Nothobranchius furzeri: one gene and its partner. The protein of the gene in region 1 purifies or fractionates together with the protein of each later gene. This does not show direct contact. Links are inferred from orthologs where the notes say so. Each region holds a gene or a part of one and is shown on either strand. Other genes may lie near its edges. The genes, in order: sorbs3 and dlg5a.

Region 1 (9,981 bases):
CTTGAGAATAAAAATCTTTACCTACAAACCAGCCATCATCACATTTTTCCAATACTTGAACGATGTCTCCTTCTCTGAGCTCCAACTCGTCTAAATTCTGTGGCTTGTAGTTGTAAATAGCTTTATACCTAGAAGATAAAGTCAACATATAAGTCTTAGCCAGGGTTTGCACTAAAGCTGCACCCCTTGTTCTGTTCTGTGTTGATGTCACAAAAACACAAACGTACGGCTGATGCTGCGTCACCGCTGAACCAGTGTTGCTGATGAGTGAGTTCACATGAAGACTAGAAAGAGCGCTCTGGTTTGGGACGGCACCCTGGGAAAAACACAAACATGTCAGGCAGTATGTCCTAATAAATAACGAGCCATGCTCCGTGAAGGCAAACAGGGAAAACACAGGTGTGGGCATGCAGGGAGGCGTGAGAGCACACCTGTGAGGGATCTGTGCATCTGTTCGCCGTGGGAGCTCCAGATCTGAGCGCCGACGACTGAGAGGAAAGAGAAGCCGTTCTAACTGTGGAGATCTGGCTGGGGCAGTGAGGTGGAGCCATGTGGTTGTTCTGGTTGGTGCTGTGGGGAAAACGGTAGGGTGTCTGGGTGGGGGAGCGTGATTGTGAGGCTGGGCTGCCACATGAAACAGGTGAGGACAGTTTGATGGGGGAGTGCTCAGGTTTGGGGCTCAGGGAAGTGGGGGTGAATGGGGAGTGGAGAGGACGCCCTGGACTCTGCGGTCCAGGGGACGTGGGAGACATGGGGCTTGATGGGCAGTCATCTGTGGAGTATTTGGTGCGGGGCATCTTGTTGACCTGGACGTAATTGGCTGGGAAGATGCCGCTCCGGCTCGTTCCCGAGATCCTGCCTTCCAACCACTTATCGTCGACGCATCTTGTTATGTCGATCACCTCACCCTGAAGGAGAGGTAATGCAAGGGTCAAAGGTTAGATCAGACATATGTATGGTGGCTCTGGGGTGCAAAAACGCCACAGCTACATCAGCCTGATTAGATTCCAAGCAAAACTAAAATAAAGCAAAAATGCGTGTCAAATAAAACCTTTTACACGGGATGTAACGGGTCACACACACTCAAAAAGTTCCACTTGTGTCTTGTCAGCCTATTAAACACTTTCCTAAAAGTCTTCAGAATCATCAAGATGTGTTTGGCAAATGTGAAACAGGCCCTTATGTTTCTTTGGGTCATCAGAGCTTTAGACTTGAGGCTCTTCCATGAGGACATTTTAGCCTCTTGTCTTATTCTTCAATCATGAACTGCTGCTACATCATAAATGCTGCTACTCTGTGTGTGTATTTGTAAACACTACTGTTGATTTTACATTCATGTTATTTCTGTGTTATTTTCTTGTTTTCTTTTACATTTTGTACCAAAGGAAGTGGCACTCCAATTTTGCTGTACAACAACAATAAAGGCTATTTTATTCTATTCTATTCTATTCTATTCTATAAACTCTGCTCTAACCAGAACAAAATGAGGTCTGCGGCAATTTTAATGTTGTTCTGTTTTTCTGTCTTGTCTTTCTTCAGAAAGCAGCACAATGTGTGTGTTTATATGTGTATATATATATATATATATATATATATATATATATATATATATATATATATATATATATATATATATATATTTAACCAACATCCTGTTGTCAGATGGTTGTGCTAATGTGATTTCTTAAATTTTCAGGTCTGGTAGTAATCAGGCCATCGTGTGGCTGGAGCAGCTTCCATAATAATGTTTTGCATAATGGAGTCTCACATTAAAATCAGGTAGATGTCTACAAACCTGAGAGCTGTTAACTTTGGCCAAGTGAAGTTAGAACATCTTTATCTTTGAGTTTGAGGGAAACCATGCAGTTTTGGCTTGCTGTTAGCACTCCCTAGAGTCCATTATCAATCCACAGTTGTAAAACCGAAAGTGAAACTCTTTTCTTTGCTCTGCATTTTTAACACCTTAATCTAACTGCTGAAATGACTCTGCAGCCTCCATTAGTGTCTGCAGGAGCGACTCATCACTAAATCAAACAAAGAAGCTGTGTTCATGATCTAAAACAAGCAGTAACCATGCTGGAAGCAGACTGCAGCGCCAGGTACGCCAGCTCCACATTACTAAGACTAAAGTAGGACCATACAGGGAGTGGTCCAGATAAGTTGCAAGTCCGGTATTCTGGCCACAGGTGGTGGTGGGGTCTGAGTGACATTTATTTAATCCTTTTACAGGTCAATCTAGCACAAACTGGCTCAATAAAATGATTTAAAAATAGGAAAAGTTGATCTCTTTTAAATCATACTCAGATTTATAATTAGAATTTCTCTGATGTAAGTCCTGGAGTTTAAAAAACAGCTTATTTAAGACCTTATGCTCTTGGTAAATGTAATCACATTTTTCTAAAGAATATGTTAATGTGTCATCTGTGTGCCAAAATAGGACGCTCCTCTCAGCATCCAATTAGCTCCTCTCCAAACTGTTCCCATGTTTCTGCCAAGAGAAAATCAGCACAACACGTTGTTTTGATCCCTCTGGTTGGATGGATTTAACAAACAGAACAGTACAACGCCAAGACAGCTGTTTGCTTTTTGTCCAGATGGCTAGATCTACGCTGCTCCATACTTACAGCACACAACATGTATGTTAACATCTTACTAGAAACATTAGATCACATAAGAAAAATGTGAAAATGTTCTTAAACTCTTCTAGGTGTCAGAAAAGCTATTCTACTTCACCATTTTGGCTCAATGTGTGGACCGGACAAGAGAACGACTCACTTTACGGAAAGAAAGTTCAACAGGTAGGTCAGCGTTGAAGTTGTACAGAGCTACAGCTTCGCCGTACTCCAGCACCTGAAGAGTGGGAGACCTTAAGGGTGTTGGCTTCTCTGTCGGAGGCAGAACCTAAAAATACACATAAACCATAACTCAGTAGCCTTTATAACACAAAGTACTTCAATAAGATCTGGCGTTAAATGACATAATTCACCTCTACATAAGAAGTGGGGAAGATCCCAGCTCTACCATGGTGCTCCCCTTCAAACCAATTGGCATCGACCTGCCTGTGGATGTAAACAATGTCGCCTTTCTGCAGTGTGAGCTCCCTGAGTGTAGGAGAAAGCGTGCAATCTAAGTTCCTGATTTGAGATTTTCTTTTAAAATATCATCGGAGTAAGATTTAAAGGTACATGAAGTAAGAATGGCATCCTGTGGACAGATGTGGGTACTGCAGTCCATGTTTCAAAACAAATGTGTGACTCTCCTCCCTCCTGATCGTGAGTTTCATGGCTGTTGCCAGTTACGGCTCAACGCCAGAAGATTCTAGATGACGAGCGAAGACGAGTCATACACTGTAAGTTTATAAGCCATTAGAATTGTTAGCTCAGCATTAGCCACTACCCTACTGTACCCAATATTAGAGTAAACCAAATAGACGCTGCGGCTTCTTGGGGGCACAAGAAGCAACTTCTGGGTCGCTCCTGCTACTGGGTAACATTGTTTCCATAGAGCAGCTGCACAGACTCTGTAACCCTGCAGGCTCAGCGATTGTAAACAAAGACTATGTCCCTCTTTAGCTTTTTTGAAAGGAGGAAAACTGACAAAGCTGAGAATTAAATCTGTTTTAATGTAACCTTCCTTCCAACATGATCGACACATTAGACTGTTTAGTGATTATTGCACAGTAAGAGTCTTACTTATTGTACCTTTAAGGTTTACCACATCATTATAAAATTATCACGTTGAAAGAATCTGATGAAGAACTACTCACTTGGGAGACTGAGCCTGGAAATTAAACTTGGCTCTTGCAGCTTTCATCTAAAATAGGAAGATTTACATTCATACTGCAACTATCAGAAAACGTTCATTTTACATTTTGCAGCTTTTCCAGTGACTAGAATTAGTTCAGACGTACCTTTTTCTCTTCTTTCTTTGATGGGAACTCCATGTTTTCATTTGCAGATGGAAGACGTTCTACTGTGGAGCACAACAAGAAGGCTCTAAACACTGAACTCTTTTGTTCTGCGTTTTGTTCTTAAGCGTGTTGCCATTACAGCCAGAACAAGTTCAAAAGCTCTAGGGATGCTACATTTCCAGGGAAAGAAACGGGATGAAGTTAATCTTCAATCAGTTCTTCCGAGTTTCACTTCCTATTTTTGTGAGCTTCCTCCCCACCCATCTACAGCTGTTTCCATAGAGAAGGGAAAACGGTCTAATGAGGGCAACACCAGAGCAGAAGACACCACCAGCAACAAAGCCAAACCATGAGACCGTCATACAATATTAGATTACTCGATGCTTTTATCAAACGTATTAGATCAGTGGGATGGTCGCTGAAGGGAGACAGTTACACAGAGAAAAACATCCAAACAGATAAAGAGGTTGTTTTCTTACCATGTGCAGGAGCAGATGTTATTAATGGGCCACCAGAATGCAGGTCAGGCTGCTTTGATGCTGGCAAATTCCTGAAAATGTGAAAAAGATAGACATAAATTAACTTTTGAGGTTTTATTAGTTTTCTGGTCCAGTGGAGGACTTTCTAAGAGCAAAAAAAGGCTGAATACAGCAGGGAATAGATGCATCCGGCACTTTCCCTCAGCTTTACAGTGTACATCAACTGTTTGCAGCTGGTTTTGATATTTTTGAATGGAGAAGAAACAAATTATCAGACAAGATTTTATCCTTTTTCACTGGAAATCTTGTTTCAATGAGCTTCATGAAGCTCTATTCATGACCAGGAACAGGTGTGTTTCTGTGTTGAGCTTTATCTCCTAACCCACAGATTCCAGCTTTCCTTTTGTTTTTCAGTGTTTGGCAGGCGGACAGAAGAATCGTAGCTGCTACATGCTTTAAATTTACACATTCTTAGTGAAATCCCCTCAGGATTGGAAACAATTGCTCAGTTTAGCAAACAGCAGCATGAACTCTTCAGGAATGCATTACACACAAGGTGAGAAATGAGTTAGTGGAAACTTAATTTGTTTACCTGACAGCTGCCCAACACTAAGTCACATATTAATCTAACACACAACTATAACACTTGGATTCCTGAATCAGCAGGAGGTCTGCTGTGATTTCAACTAAACAACGATGCAACATGAAAGTGGACTGGGGAGGGTGGGGGCGGCTTAACCCTGATTTTTCAGCTTCTTTATGCTTAAATGATGCAAACTTTATGGATTATCGAGCATCTACTTCTCTATAGTTGATTGCAGTTTCAGTTGCAGCCTTGCTTCATGCACGTTTGTTTGTATTCTAGTGAAAAGAATGAATCACATTAACAGGATCAGCTTGTCACAATGGTGTAAACCTCCCATAAAACAGTTTTAGACAAACGCACAAGAGAGAAGCGTAGAACACAAGTATTTATCTCACTCTAAAACTAAAATACTCATAAATTATAGAAAAATTGGACTAAAAGGTGATGAAAAGCTGATAACTTGATCTTTATAGCTTCATTGAAATGGTACGGTGTAGATCAACTAACCTGTGGTTGGGAGTCTTTGGAGTGGGATCTGGATCCCTGTTTCTGGCCTCCTGTAAGCAGAGGGAACCCTTTAGGACGTTGCTCTCTGCAGCACCACTCAGCCTTCTGCATCTCATACTTCAGAGGAAATCTCACAACAACTCAGACAAAGTAGAGGTGCTGCTGACCACTCCCAAGTGAGCAAAGAAATCCCCAGGGTCCTATCCTCCTCGAGCTTGCAGCAACACGGCTCATGATCTGTCTGAGCTGTCTGTGATTTCATGCTAACCCTAGGAGGCTGGTTCTGTCACAGAAACATCAAACATGACATCAGAGCTGTTGGAAAGTTCCCGTGGAGCAGGGAAGAGGAGGAGCAGGCAGCACTATGGTTGTATATGATCTAAAGGAAACTATGTTTTTATCTTTTGCTCTTTTGGCAGCCAGGTCTAGATTTGCTGTGGGGAACTGTCAGGAGGGCGATTAAGAGAGAAGATCAATCTGAGTGCAGGGCAGGCAGGCCATTCTCAGGCAGTCAAAGAGAAGAATGTTCACGTTCTCAGCTAGCAAGCAAAGGGATCTCATTGACACGTAGCTTTCACTGGGAGGGTAGGGAACGGGAGTGGGTGGGAATTCTGCTAGATTGGTGAGATAGAGGGGGTGATTTGGCAGAAAGAGTCGGTAGGGAGGCTCAGTACCTCACCCCGGCCTTGACGCTGCTTCTTCTGGGAAAGAGTCCTCTCCAGGCCCTGAATCTCCGAGTCCAGCTCAGCCTCGAATCGACTCAGCTCAGACGCCAGACTGGCCTGACTCCCGCAATTAAAGAGTTGGAATAAATAAAACACAGCTAGAGCAGGGGTTCTGGAGCTTAAGTGGCCCTCGTTTACTTTTAATATTCATAAAGTCAACAAAATAATTCTACGTGAAATTGTGTTGTGGATGCTTACCTCAATGGAAGGGGACTTGGGTTTCTCGGGTTGTGTCTTTGGGGATAAAAAAGTCTAAAAGAAGAGAAAAAAGAGAACACAGTTGAAGCAGATTTAGAGCTAAACATTAGTGATGTTGTTGCACCAAATGGAAAAAGAAGATAACAAGAGAAATAAACTGATTGTGGCCTTAAAGCGGGACATAATGTGTTTTTTTTTTGTTTTGTTTTTGTTTTTTTGTTTTTCAAAAATCTGCATTGGTTTTTAGTATTATTAAAGATTAAATTAAAGTCCCATACACATGTCACACACACTGGTGTGGTGTGGTGAAAATTATCCTCCACATTTGACCCATCCCCGTGGGGAGCGGTGAGCTGCAGACATGGCCATGCTCCGGAACTATTAGGTGGTTTATGAGTGCATGCCTTAGTCGATCTCTGTGGAAAAAAGCTCTTGCGCTCCTGTTTTAGGAAGTAAAAGGTTAGCTGGAGGGAAGGGGGGCTGAAAACCGACGCGATTTGGAATTTCACTCATTATCATTCATGCTATGTGGAAATCTGGCCTCTAATTGGCTAACAGCAACACAACTCTACCATTGACTCAGTTTGCGCTGTAACGCTGATGTTTTATCTCCATAAATAACTCAAACATGAAGGAGTTGCTAATGCTAACAATTAGCTTCACTAGCTGAGGTGAGCTCTGCTCTCTCCTGGATGTGAAAATCAACAACAGCCTTTCCCAGTTGTGAGCCCAGGTGGCTGGGTCCATGACAGCTATTTGACGTAGATCTGAATGACTTTTTCTGATCTGAGTGTTTCCCCGTATATTTTCTTCTGGTGTCACAACAGGTCGGTGTTTAGGCGTGAAACTTTTTGGCACAGAAATTTTACCAAGTTGAGCAAAAGTTATGAAATTACTCCACAAACAGACTTTGTTTTAAGTGAAAACTTAAAATTTTCTGAGTGTTTGGTATAAAACACATGAATTAAATCAGTTTCCATACAAAAGCTGTTTTTTACCCTCTCAGGCTCAAAAAAAGTCTTGATAAAAGGACGAACAACTAAGTCCTTCAGGAGTACTTCTGAGTTTAAAAATGCTCATGTATGTGGAGTAGCCAGGTAGGTAGGTTTTAACGTTGCAAATCTGCAACGCCTGCCTGCAGAGGGTTAAATAATCTTTCAGAATAAGAGTTTCCAAAATGCAGAGGTCAAAGTACAACATCTATAGCCTGCCAAAGCACATTTTGGACTCAACACTGCTGAGGTATAAACCAGCACATTTTTTTCTGTTTAACAAGCGCTGAAATAACTCGTTCACTCCCTCTCTGCACATATTTGACACCACTCGCCGCTGATTCGATCGAACATTACTTTAAAAGGCCCTGTTGGTGAGAACCGCAGACGACTGCTTCATTTTTTAGTAGAACCTTGGCTGAACGTGTCTCTCTGAATGCCAGAAACCTTCATCGTCCCGTCTGCAAGCACAAACAGCGATGTCACAGAGAAGCAGCACAACACCTGATATGGTCTGTGAGCTGCTTTTCTAAATGCAGGGGATACGGCTTCAGCCAATTCCACAAAGACTAAATGAAAGAAGTCCCCGTGCTGTGAGCCATTAAACACCACAAGAGGTTAACACCATAATACAAATCACAAGACACATCAGCTCCCATGGGGGAGTGGAAACAAAGATTTATTTTCTTCTTCAGATGAGACACAGTATGCACCACAGATCTGGAGCAGTGTTCCCAAACAACCCGAAAACTCACAGGGTGTATTAAAACCCACAAACACTAAAATAACTAATAAATCACAGCAGAAAGCCAAAACCATGGGAGAAATCATCAAAAACTGATTCTGTACAAACCACAATAGATTAGTCCCTTTTTCTCTGCAAATCTGAATGCATCATTGTTGAGATGACTAACAGGGATGAGCTCACCTGGAGTTTAGAACCCTCTGGTGAACATTGTCTGTCTTTACCAGGTACTGCATAAGTTGCACGAGAAGATGAAAAACAAGGGCTCAGACGATAATCCTAGAAGACGTGACCGACTGAGACAACAAACCATACTGAGAATTGCACCTATAAGTCCCAACAACAATGCTGAGGAAATTTAAAGATTAAAAGAACTTTATTTTGGACTTAGAGTCTATTTTTAAACCGTGTGACTGCGTGTGAGGTCGTACCTGGCTGTGAGTTTCTGAGGTGGGGCTCTTTCCGGGCTCAAAGTCGAAAATGCTCCTCGGCTGAGGTTGTTGCTTTCCGGGGTCTGACAGCTTATCTACATCCTCGCTCCTGAAAGGTAACACCCCAACACACACACACACACACACACACACACACACACACACACACACACACACACACACACACACACAACTTAGTTTCGGCTTCATTGTGAGTGCTGTAACAACAGATCCAAACTTGTCCGTCCTACACGTTTACTCTCCGCTGCACATGGGCAAAGTTTTGGTTGGTTTTTTTGGTAACACTTTACAAAAAGGGTTGCTTCATTAATGTTACTTTGTGCATTATTAAGCATTAATAAACTATTTTAAAAAGTTTTAACAACTGCTTAAACATATTATTATGCATTATTAAGCAGACCATCCCCGTCCCTTTGCGTTAACTTAAAGGAAACGCAATAGTTAACAATAACGGTAGCATTAATATAGGTGTCCTTTCTTTATTAATACTTAACTCACTCACTAAGTAATGTTAATGAAGGGACATTTATTGTAAAGTGCTGCTGGTATTTCTACAAGTCAAGCTATATCCTGGTAAATAATGACTTCTTTTCATTTAATTTTACTTCTTAATAAAAAATAAAAGAAAAACATGCCAGCACCACTAACAGTTCACTACTAAAATTTTATTTTTCTTTTTTATGCGTGTGCAGTTAAATTACGTGAGGCAGCTTAATTTAAACAGCACATTTCATACACAGACAGTGACAACATACAACAGTAAATTTTAAAATCCACTTTATAATACACAAACAGAATTACATTTTAAAAAGGCTAAGTTAAACACTGAGCAGTTACAGTCACAGACGGTGCAACATAAGAAACAATAACTCAAAGGCTGATGAATGCTTGAATGTTTTCACTTTGATTTAAAGGTTTCTGGTTTGGGGATTTGAGGTAAAGGGAAGCTGAATCTGTGTGCAGCAAAGTAGCTAAACGCAACTTCTGTTTGGTTCAGAATTGTTTTAAATGATAAAAAATGTAGTAAAAAATTACTTAAAGTTTTGAAATCTTTGTTTAATGCTTCCTCAAAAAGTATGATTCTAGCAGGGACAGGCTAGCTTAGTTGTGTGCTAATTAGCAACGGTAGCTATCATAACAGTTGAGCACATATCAGTCCGAAGTCTGAACATTTGCAGACTTTATGGATCATCAGGGAACTAAAAAACATCCATAATGCATTTAGAAATATTGTGTTTACTGACAGAGACCAAACGTTGGCTGAGCCTTAAAAATCCTGACTATGTCTGTCGTCAACAACTTGGTAATTTTTTTTATCCTCCTTCTTCAGCCAACTTGTCCTCCTTTTGCTTGTTACCATGGGAACGAGACTTCCAACAAGATGCAG
Region 2 (10,447 bases), on another chromosome or scaffold:
TGAAGTCATTTCTCACATTCTAGTGCTTTTCAACAGGTTATTTTATTATTTTTAGAGCGAGGTCGAGCTCCAATTGTAGCCACAGCCACGAGGGCGCGCCCATAGCCACAAATGGCTGACTTTTGTGATAAGTCAACACTTAACTGAGAAGCACTGTTTTGGCAGTTTATAAGTACAGTCGTTAAAAACTTTGTTTATATTTGAAACTTTGTTCATACTTGATGTTTAACGAATGTCTTCGATGTACTTTGAACTTGTGCTCCGTCGTATTATGCTAACGTGGCTGTGCGGTGCTCTGCCCGTAGCCCATTGGCTGTGGTCATAGCAGTCAACTGCTTTGCTCATAGCACATTCCAACTCCATTCAAAAAGTGAAACTCGTATATTAGATTCATTCATTATACACAGACTGATATATTTCAAAAGATTTTTTTCTTTCATTTGATGATTATAACTGACAACTAGTGATGCACCGATATGAAATTTATGGGCTGATACCGATATGAATATCACTGTTATGGCCTATACCGATATACGGACATTAATGCCTCTGAAATCAGCAGATTTTGTATAGACTGAAAATTATTAAAGCTGAATTTACGTTATTGTGTACACACCTCACTCATTTACGCTTCTGAGATGTTAACAATCACTGTCACATGACTAAAAATACCACACTCATCACCCCCTTTATCCTCTGAAACAGATAAACAAAGGGAAACAAGATGAAAAAAATATCAGTTGTTAATATCGGTCCAATTTTATTTATCGGACCGATACAGATATCTTAAAAAAAATGACTTAACATCGGCCGATACCGATTTTGACGCAGATATATTGTGCATCCCTACTGACAACTAATGAAAATCCCAAAGTCAGTATCTCAAAATATTACAATATCAATTAGTTTCTTTCCGGAGTATTTCTCTTATCTGATTGCACCATCTAGTGGCTGACAAGCATATCACACAAATAGTCTTGATCCGTTTTTTTAAGATGGCGACTTCACATTTCTTTGTGCTTCTGTAGCCGGCTTAAACACGTTTTGCAAGTATTATTCTTATGTCGTGTTACGTTTTTATACATTTATATTTTAAACATTGTGAAAAGTTCATCAACTCTGCATCAGCTGAGGTACTTCCATAAATGTGAAGAATGTAAGCAGTAGTCTAACGCTATTGGTTAGTTCTGGTAGACACTCAGTTTCCTATTGCACAGAGCTCTGCGGGGCAGGGGCGTGCTTAGCAAAAAAAAAAAAAAAAAGACGTATTGCTTACATTATATCACAGTACATGATAAGACAATCACTTCTACGGATTTCTGAAAAATCACACATAATTTCTGAAAGGGGAAAACTCCGGAAAGCTACTTTAAGACCAATGCAAAAAAATACATTTTTAAAATGTTGGCCAACTGAGAAGTATAAACATGAAAAGCATGAGCATGTACCGCACTCAATATTTAGTTGGGGCTCCTTTGGCCTGGATTACTGCAGCAATGTGGCATGGCATGGCCTTCAGCTCTTCTGAATTGTTAGTCTGGTGTATTACAGCTTCCTCTTCACAAAACCCCACATATTTTCTATGGGGTTATGGTCAGGCAAGTTTGCTGGCCAATCAAGAACAGGGATAGTGAAGAACATGGTCCTTAAACCAGCTTTGGCACTGTGTGCAAGTGCCAAGTCCTGTTGGAAACCATCCTCGACTGTGGAAACTTTACACTGGACCTCAAGCAACATGGATTCTGTGCCTATCCTCTCTTCTTCCAGACTCTGGGGCCTTGATTTCCAAAGGAAATACAAAATTTACTTTCAGAGAACATAACTTTGGACCACTCAGCAGCAGTCCAGTCTTTTTTGTTTTTAGCCCAGGTGAGACGCTACTGACACTGTATCTTGTTCAAGAGTGACTCGACCCAAGGAATGCAACAGCTCAAACCCATGTCTTGCATACATCTGTGCACAGTGGTTCTTGGAAGAACCTATTCCAGCTGCAGTCCACTCTGTGAATCTCCCCCACATTTTTATGGGGTTTTGTTTCATAATCCTTTCCAGGGTACGGTTATCCCTATTGTTGTACACTTTTTTCAACCACATCTTATCCTTCCTTTTGCCTCGATTAATGAGCTTGGACACAGAGCTCTGTGAACAGCCTGCCTCTTTAGTAATGACCTTTTGTGTCTTGCCCTCCTTGTGCAAGGTGTCATTGGTTGTATTTTGGACACCTGTCAAGTCAGCATTCTTCCCCATGATTGTGTAGCCTACAGAACTAGGGTGAGACCATTTAAAGGCTTTTGCAGGTGTTTTGAGTTAATTAGCTGATAAGAGTGTAGCACCAGTGTTCTTCAATATTGAATCTTTTCACAACATTCTAATTTTCTGAGATACTGAATTTGGGTTTTCATTAGTTGTCAGTCATAATCATCAAAATAAAAAGAAATAAACATGTCTGTGTGTAATGAATTCAATATGTATTCAAGTTTCACTTTTGAATGGAATTAATGCAATGAATCGTCATGATATTCTAATTTTTTGACCAGCACTTGTATATTCTGGCATTTTCTCTACTCTGAAGAGTAATTAGAGCGTGGTGAGGAAGTGGAATATGTGTAAAATGGTCCTGTTCCACATTCACTCATTCACTGCCAATCATGACTAAAGTCGTCATTTGCATTTTTTTTTTTTTTACTGTGTGGGCATCGGAACAAGCTCCCGCACCATGAGAATAAACATCTCAGCTCTAAAGCTGATCTTAATCCGCATACGTCACACGTCTCGTGATCAGGAAGCAAAAAATCCGGAAGCAGAAAATCCATGTGTTAGGAGATCGTTTTGGGCCGCTGCTGTAAAAAAGGTGAGGCGCGAACCGGAAAAGCTTCTGCTGATCACAATTTAACAACTGATTGTGAAAGAACGGATAACGCTCAAAATGCGCAAATTCTTTCTGATGTAAGAGGTGAGTCTCCGCTTTGATTTGGTTGTTTTGGCATCTACATCATCCTAACGCGCAACGTTTTGTGACTCTTAAATATGTACCCAGTAAAAACGGTGAGGAACGCTGGCAGCGAAGGGCTTTACTGATCAGGAAACGGCTGGCAGCGAATGAGTTAATGCCTCCTGGTTGTGGTTCTCAAATCAACAATCTGATTTCATCACAAGTGAAAAAGAGAACACTTGCAACAATAGGCAGTGGTGACATCTTTCTACTGGAACTATGGAGATAATGATCCGAGGAAACCATAAGGTCAACCTTTCGTTACTGCTCCTCTAAATATGATGAACTGATGGCTCCCTCTGCACATTGGCAAAGCAGCACTGAGATCCAAAGAGTGGTGAACCGAAAGAAATTGAGATGACAAGGTAAGAGACAGCGTGCGTCACTGAATGACAGAAACTGACGCAGACAGTGAGTGACGAAGAAAGTGAAGCCAGGTCCATCTCTTGGGAGATATTTAAGAGCTGTGTTTGTGACAAAGAGCTCCAGGGTCATAACTCATCCCGTCTGCCCACCATGGTTTATGGAATAGGACAGAAACTCTGTGACAGAGGGTACAGCACCCCCCCTCCAGTAACACAAAAACACTGGCCCATGTCCTAGGCTGCTGTACACAGAGCAAGCTGCTGACTCTGCACTTTGGGCCTGCTCAACTTCTCAACAAAAGCCCCGTTGTCTGCCTCACTCTTCCTCCCTCTTTCTATCACCCTCCGCTGTCTCTCTGGTGAGTCCCTTTATTTAAGGGTGTAGAGAAATAAAAACACTCAGTGGGAGAAAATACATAAAGTGGGTTGTAGTAAAGTAAATGGTGATTCAGAGGACAGGACAACAAACCACAGGATCAAAGATCCGACAACACAAACACAGAGTAAACAGAAAAACGGTGCTTTTGATGATGCACAGTGTGTGAGGTAAAGAGTGGAGGGTTGCAGGTATAGCTTTACTATTCCGTTTTTGAGGTAAATGCGGCTCAAGCAGTGCAGGAACATGAGCACACAGGCCAAGACATAAAAACAGCTTCATTACGGCTGCTTAGATTAACAACCCTTCCACCTGAAAACTTAACACACTAGCTTCTGCTGAAACTTCAGCAGCACTCAACAATCTGAGCAAATCACTACAGTGCAATTTTATCCAAGTGAGATACGTTCTTCCAAAAGGATGAGCCATCATTTGAAGGAGCACAGATTCACGAAATAATGAGGATACATTTGCACAACCTCTACAGAAAACATGCTGCAGGTTGAAAGAAAAACACAAATAATTCACACAGCCTACGCATCAAACATCGAGTATTAATGCGGGCATCTGCTTGTTTTTTTCCTTTGGTGGGACAATGTTGTCTTCGGGTGATTGCATATGCGCGCATCTTCGGAGGCTCAGCTGGCATAGGAAGCACATCAGAGAACAAGAGCAGACAGGCAGCATGAGCAGAGGACAAGCTGAGAGCAGGTTGCTATCAGCAAGACTCATCACACTCAGATTCCCTCTCTTCACACACCCAGTGTTGTTCACAAACACTCAGAGGCTCTGAAGATTTCATCCCCATGAGCCTTTTCCACGCGCTTCTGTACTAGAAGGAAGATGGTGAGAGGCTTTTCGTTGGTTTCTTTCCAACAAGATTGGGTTAGATCTTCATAATCAGGACACCAGAATGCCTCCCAAATTAAAAAATAAAATAAAAATCAGCTATATGAAAACTGTAATGATTTACTTAAAAAATGAATGCCACAAGCACAGTGGCTGATACACATGACTGGATGCATTAAAAAGCATCTCAGAGAGAAAGTGTGCACCAGATTGAGGGGAGCAGGGCCTAATCCTCTGTTGAATAACCACTGACTGACAAGCCAGGCTTAGTACTTGTGCACGGTATTTCCAAACACAAGACATGTCAACTTTGAGGCCCAGTGCTACAGAATAAAAAGGTGTGTGTATGTGTGTGTGGAGAAAAGCTCAAACCCACACTGCCAAGTGTAATTCTGCAGCACCAACACTCAATACAAGGAAGTAATAAAGCTTAAGGAAGCATTAATGATCCTGTCAGCAGAGCAGAGCAGCAAGAAACCAGCTCAGCACTACCTGCAAGGGTCTACTTAGACCAAGACACACAGGAACAGTAAACAAGCCTTTCAAAATAAATCTACAGCTATGCTGGGATCTCAAACATCACCTGAAACTTTGAGTTTATTTCTGAAACGCTGTCTGCCAAAGAGGAGTCATTCTCTGCATCTTCTCCCTACTTCTGGATCCCAGGGCTCATCCTGCATTCAAACCCTCAGGGCATGACGCTGGTTGTAAGAAAGCCACTGACTGGCTTTAGTCATTGAGACAAAACAAAACAGGCAAAACTAGACATGGTTTTTACACTTGGCTGGCCTTTGTCTCTGGGAAACAGCAACCAAAACCACTGAAGTGAAGGCAGTTGCTGGGAGGGAAAAGGGCACAAATCAAATGAGTACAATGAATCGAATTAAAAAATGTGGCATTAATGCACCGCCGCCGACATATCGGGCTAAACGGCTTAAGATAAGATTTCCTCTTCACTTGATATGAAAGATGCTTTAAGCATGCACGGGTAGGCTGCTTGAACACCCATGTACAGGTTGATATGAACCAACATGTCAGTAGTAAGACCGTTGTCATGGAAACAACTCAGGCTACCCATCTACTAACCCTGTGCAGCTGATGGCGGAAGAGGCTTTTACGGTGGATAACGGTAAATGTGAATACATTTAAAGAGTGCACATAAAAGGTTTGCATGAAGGAGTTTTTTGTGCAGCATGATGGGTGTGAGTGATGCAAATTTGTCCTTGGATGAAGTTAAAAGCAGAAAGTGAATTAAATGTGCAGGTCAAGGTAACTATTTCATTCAACTGCTATATTTTAATTTACACAACTCTGTGGATTCATGTATGTCATTGCAACACGTTGGAAAATTTACATGCAGCTGCATAAGACGCTTTGATCCTTGCATTACTTTATTGTATGCACGCGCACACACCCTCCTATTGCACCAGACCACCCAGATTTGACCACACTTGCAGGAGAACAGCTATGTTAGGACTGGACTACTCGTTTATTTGGGATTCTAGTAAAATCTCATTGGGGAATAGTTGACGTGTGAACTCTTACCGGTGGAGTGGTCCACTGGTCCCCCGTTGTTACCGAACAGGGCAGCGTACAGGTCAGGGTACGCCTTCTCCAGGGCCACACACAGGTCGAGGAAATGGTCGCTCTCCTTGTTCATCAGCATCTTCAAAAGGTGGTCGACTTTCTCGGCGCTAGATGAGCAGTTCTGCTCCAGCTCGAACTTGTCGAGTTGGCTTAAGGTACCAGAGACTACCAGCAACTCGATGACTCGGTCGGCATCTGTTATGGACTCCAATAAGTTCTGGTGGTACTGGTCTAGCAACTCTTTGTGCTTTGGCTCCATTGCTCTCCGCTGTAGTTCCGTAGCTTTCCCAGCTAACCCAGACGGCTCAAGTGGATGGAAGATCCCTACCGATCAAAAGTACCGAGCGATGATTGAAGTGAACTTACCGCGGCTTGCAGAAGTTCGCCAGAGCCACCACGGCATTAAGTTGCATGGGAGATCCTCTTTAATAGCATATTGAAAAAGGCACAAGAAGCCATATTTGTTGCCCAAGGCTGTTGACTGCACTAAACAGCGATGCATTTTCCCATCTTACTAACGTGTAGCAGTTCAGCTTGTTTTCTGCTTCCCCTCGGAGTACGCTGTCGCTGAGAACATTTCCTCTCCTCCTTGTATCATTTTATGCGCCCTTTGCCGAGTCAACTGCTGGAAAAACTCCCGTAACTCCGCCGCTGAGCCTCAGTTACACTGTACCCTCCGCCATGTCTGAGCAACTCAGCAGCTGCTGCCCGATGTCAATCAACGACTCGTTCAATGACCAAATATGGTCAAATAGGGCGGAGTCTGGCCGGAAACACGCCTCTTTCTTCAATGGGCGTACACACTGGGCCGTAGTACGTTGAAAATCCCAGGTGGGGAAAAAAAAACATGAGAATGAAGAAAATTTCCAATAAATTTCAAACTTTCGCCACATATGAAGCCGTTATGGTTAATGTACTGATCACGGTTATTACCGGAAATCAGATTAAAACTGTTGTAGTTAACTTCCACGATGTAGATGAAAATACAATTCATTTAATTTACTCATAAAACTAAAACTTACAAAAGCATATTCAACTATTTCTTAGTTATTAACAGAATAAGAAAAATAAACATATGCAAGAAAAAGAATACAAGGCTTTTGCATTTGCTCTCCTAAATACTTATTTATAACAACAAATTAAAATTAATACAACAGTTTTGCAATAATTGCTGGTTACTCAGAAGCACATTCATCTTGTTGTTTTAAGAGGCCGGGATCTTTATTCAGCCAGATGTAATTTTCTATTGTATTTAGTGAATTTGTCTGGTTTTTCCGTCATTCCTCTTTGACCGAAAGGATGCTTCTAAATGCAAATGCAATATTTGCAATGTACTGTATATTTAGATGTTTGATCAATTAAAGAATCACAAAGGAACTGCTCACACTTCTTAGGGAGACAGTTTTCAGTCATGTTTGAAGCCTTGAAAAAGAGCACATCCATTTTGGATGTGAATACAGTTCATTTTAGTGCAGAAATCACGTTTTTTTTAAGGCAGAATTTGCATGCACTACAACAATTGATAGAAATAAACATGTGTAATTGCATGTATCTGTATGTAAACACAACTAACTATATTAATCTTTATATTTACCATGAAAACATTTTATCATCAGAAGGCCAATGACTTGGTTCACTTACGTGTTTTGTTTAAGGAAAATGTCCATGAAATCATAAAGACATACTGCACAATAGCTGCATGCATCATTTTTAGTGAGTACTATATCCCCATGATAGATGAGAAATATGAGGGCGGTAGCTTCATAGTTAACGAACAATTAAATATGATGACAAATGAAATTTGCATTAAGAGAGGATATGTTGATGACGGCGGGTGCACCTTCTGCAGCTGAATAGATTGTTGGCACAGAGACAGGCGTCTGCAGCCATACCTCTCAAACCATGACCTTATTCATGCACTCACTGAATCTCACTGTGACATCTACTCTATCCCCTCCCTTCTGTCTCTCTGCCACGCTGGCTGCACGGCTTGTGCAACCATGTGCCATTCGTTCGGATGAAAAATTAATTACAATTCATTCATATCAAAGGGAAGCAGGTTTCTGCTGCTGACACGGATTGGACAGCAGCGTTTGTTCCCTTTTTTCTGAGGACATACATATGAATTAGGAGGACAGCCTAATGCTTTTTTTTATCTTGAGGGTATGAATGAATTTATTGTTTAGACAAGGATAGCGGTGTTTCTGGCTGTCTGATGATTCACTGGAAATTGTTAAACAAGATTTGTTTATAGGACAGCCTAGAACGGGGCAGATAATAGCCTTATCTTTTATTGAAGAGACTGTCAGCAAGGATATCCATCATTTATCCCGTCCCTTTCTCAGAGAGAAAATTTTATAGTTTTCTTTTCACTGTTTGTCTGAGAGGAGATTCAGCTGAATCTGTCCGAGCCAAGAACGGCACAACAATGATTTTAGGGTTTATAAAATCCACAACGTTACACATAAAGTTCATTATTTTATGTCAGAGCTTAATAAAAGAACTAAGCAAAAACAGCACATTTGTGGTTGTTCTGAGAAATGTTGTTTTCTGAAATGTTGTGTTGGTGACAGTGGCGGTTTTACCATTAGGCATAGGTCGGTGGCCGTCTGGGGCCCCCAACATAAGGGCGCCCCCTCACTCTGACAACCGGCACCCCTCTTTTAATCCCACAATGGACTATTCCTTAAAGACACCAATTCACAAACAGGAAGCGATTGTTAGTCATTCTACTCCAATCCAGTTGGTGGCAGTAATGCACCAAATTGTTATTTGCCAAGTGCCATAAGACCACAAATAAGAAGAAGAAGAAGAAAAAGCAGAAAAAGAAAAAGAGAGGCGGGAGCGTTCGTAACAAACTCGAAGCGGTAGTCAAAACATTAAGCATGAAATTGAGTTATCTTAGTGGCTCCAATAAGAGAAAGAAGCAGTTTGCTTTAAAAAAGATTTTATCTTCACTTCCAAAAGTGATGTTGTTTTTCTATGTAAACATCAAAAAGGAGCAGAAAGGAAAGACAATGGAAAATGTTTCAAGGGAGGAAAACATAGACCAAAATGGAAAATAGAAAAACAAATAACAAAGGCAAAAGCACAGGAGCACTGACAGGAAGAAGAAAGCAGAGCAAACATTGAAGACACTCAAAGGGAGAGAAAGACAGGAAAAGAGGACTAATAAAAAGTGAAAGTAACTCTTGTCAGAAGAGGGGAGAGTTTCGCAAATCCAGTTAAAGGTAAGATTGCCGAATATTTAGTGTAAGGGGCCCCATGTCTGTGTTCGCCTTGGGCCCCCAAATCGCTAAATCCACCACTGGTTGGTGATGAGTTTCCTTTGTGTTCCTCTGCCCCAGCACATGCTAAGATCATGTGAAAGAAGCCCCAGATGATTAGAAATGTTAAATCAGGCAACTCAATTTGCAGGTTTTAAATTAACTGTGAAATAGTGTTGAGCTGGACACCTTCGAACAGATCAGCGGTTTATAATCTTCACATCAAAATTGTGAATTTTGCAGAAACATGTCAAAGCATTGTGGTATTATCTTTAGGATCCAAACAATCTTCTCACATCTGACATAATTTACTCTAATCTCCATCCAAACTCTAAAGGTTAAAACCCTTGCATGTGTTTTCGAAGCCTAAAACTTTCTCTGTAATTTGTTAGCGTGACATGTTCCAAATGTATTCTTCCAGTGTGGCTTTGTGGACTTGTTTAATGTGGCCAAAGCAGCTTAACAGCTGTCATCAGTTCCACAGGCCTCCCTCCCCACCTCATCATTATTGAGTGTAGTGCAGTGAACCCACCCACAGAAACCTAACCAGCCAAGCACAGAGCCACATCTTTACTGTCGGGTGTTTTAAGGTGAAGTCAACAGGAAATAAGTGGCATAGAGTTCCCTGAGTAGCCACTCACTTGGAATTTTGCTGATAAAATGCAAATATTCAAGTGTTACCCACTGATCTGTTGCTTTGATTGAGATGCTTTCATCATCTAGGGTGAAATAGATGTTTTCATGTGTCAAATTAATAAAACTCAATCCAGATTTTTATAGGTTTGATGCATCATTAGCTCTGCTGGTTGGAAATAGACATTTTAGTATTAATATAGAGAATGAAAAGGAGCACACTACCCTCTACTGGTGCTAAATGATCAAAATTAAGTATTTATTGTGGACATTTTTTTATTTAAGTGTTTTTATGAAAACATTTCAATTCAATTAAATTCAAATTCAATTCAAAAATACTTTATTAATCCCAGAGGGAAACTGATTGCTGTAGTAGCTC

The links.
Region 2: the proteins of sorbs3 (region 1) and dlg5a purify together in Homo sapiens (co-immunoprecipitation; 3 studies listed by BioGRID and IntAct, with this or other methods). This does not show direct contact. The link is inferred for Nothobranchius furzeri from reciprocal best matches to the Homo sapiens genes SORBS3 and DLG5.

Annotation. Positions count from the first base shown.
Region 1 is NC_091757.1:39,858,769-39,868,749, reverse strand, and holds part of sorbs3 (vinexin), read right to left. Parts: intron 8,683-9,981; coding exon 8,574-8,682; intron 6,460-8,573; coding exon 6,406-6,459; intron 6,265-6,405; coding exon 6,157-6,264; intron 5,533-6,156; coding exon 5,483-5,532; intron 5,251-5,482; coding exon 5,191-5,250; intron 4,461-5,190; coding exon 4,390-4,460; intron 3,973-4,389; coding exon 3,911-3,972; intron 3,814-3,910; coding exon 3,767-3,813; intron 3,102-3,766; coding exon 2,987-3,101; intron 2,902-2,986; coding exon 2,776-2,901; intron 909-2,775; coding exon 432-908; intron 317-431; coding exon 228-316; intron 129-227; coding exon 22-128; intron 1-21. UniProt on the Homo sapiens protein: Vinexin alpha isoform promotes up-regulation of actin stress fiber formation. Vinexin beta isoform plays a role in cell spreading and enhances the activation of JNK/SAPK in response to EGF stimulation by using its third SH3 domain.
Region 2 is NC_091752.1:34,938,589-34,949,035, reverse strand, and holds the start of dlg5a (disks large homolog 5a), read right to left. Parts: upstream 6,646-10,447; 5' UTR 6,429-6,645; coding exon 6,128-6,428; intron 1-6,127. UniProt on the Homo sapiens protein: Acts as a regulator of the Hippo signaling pathway.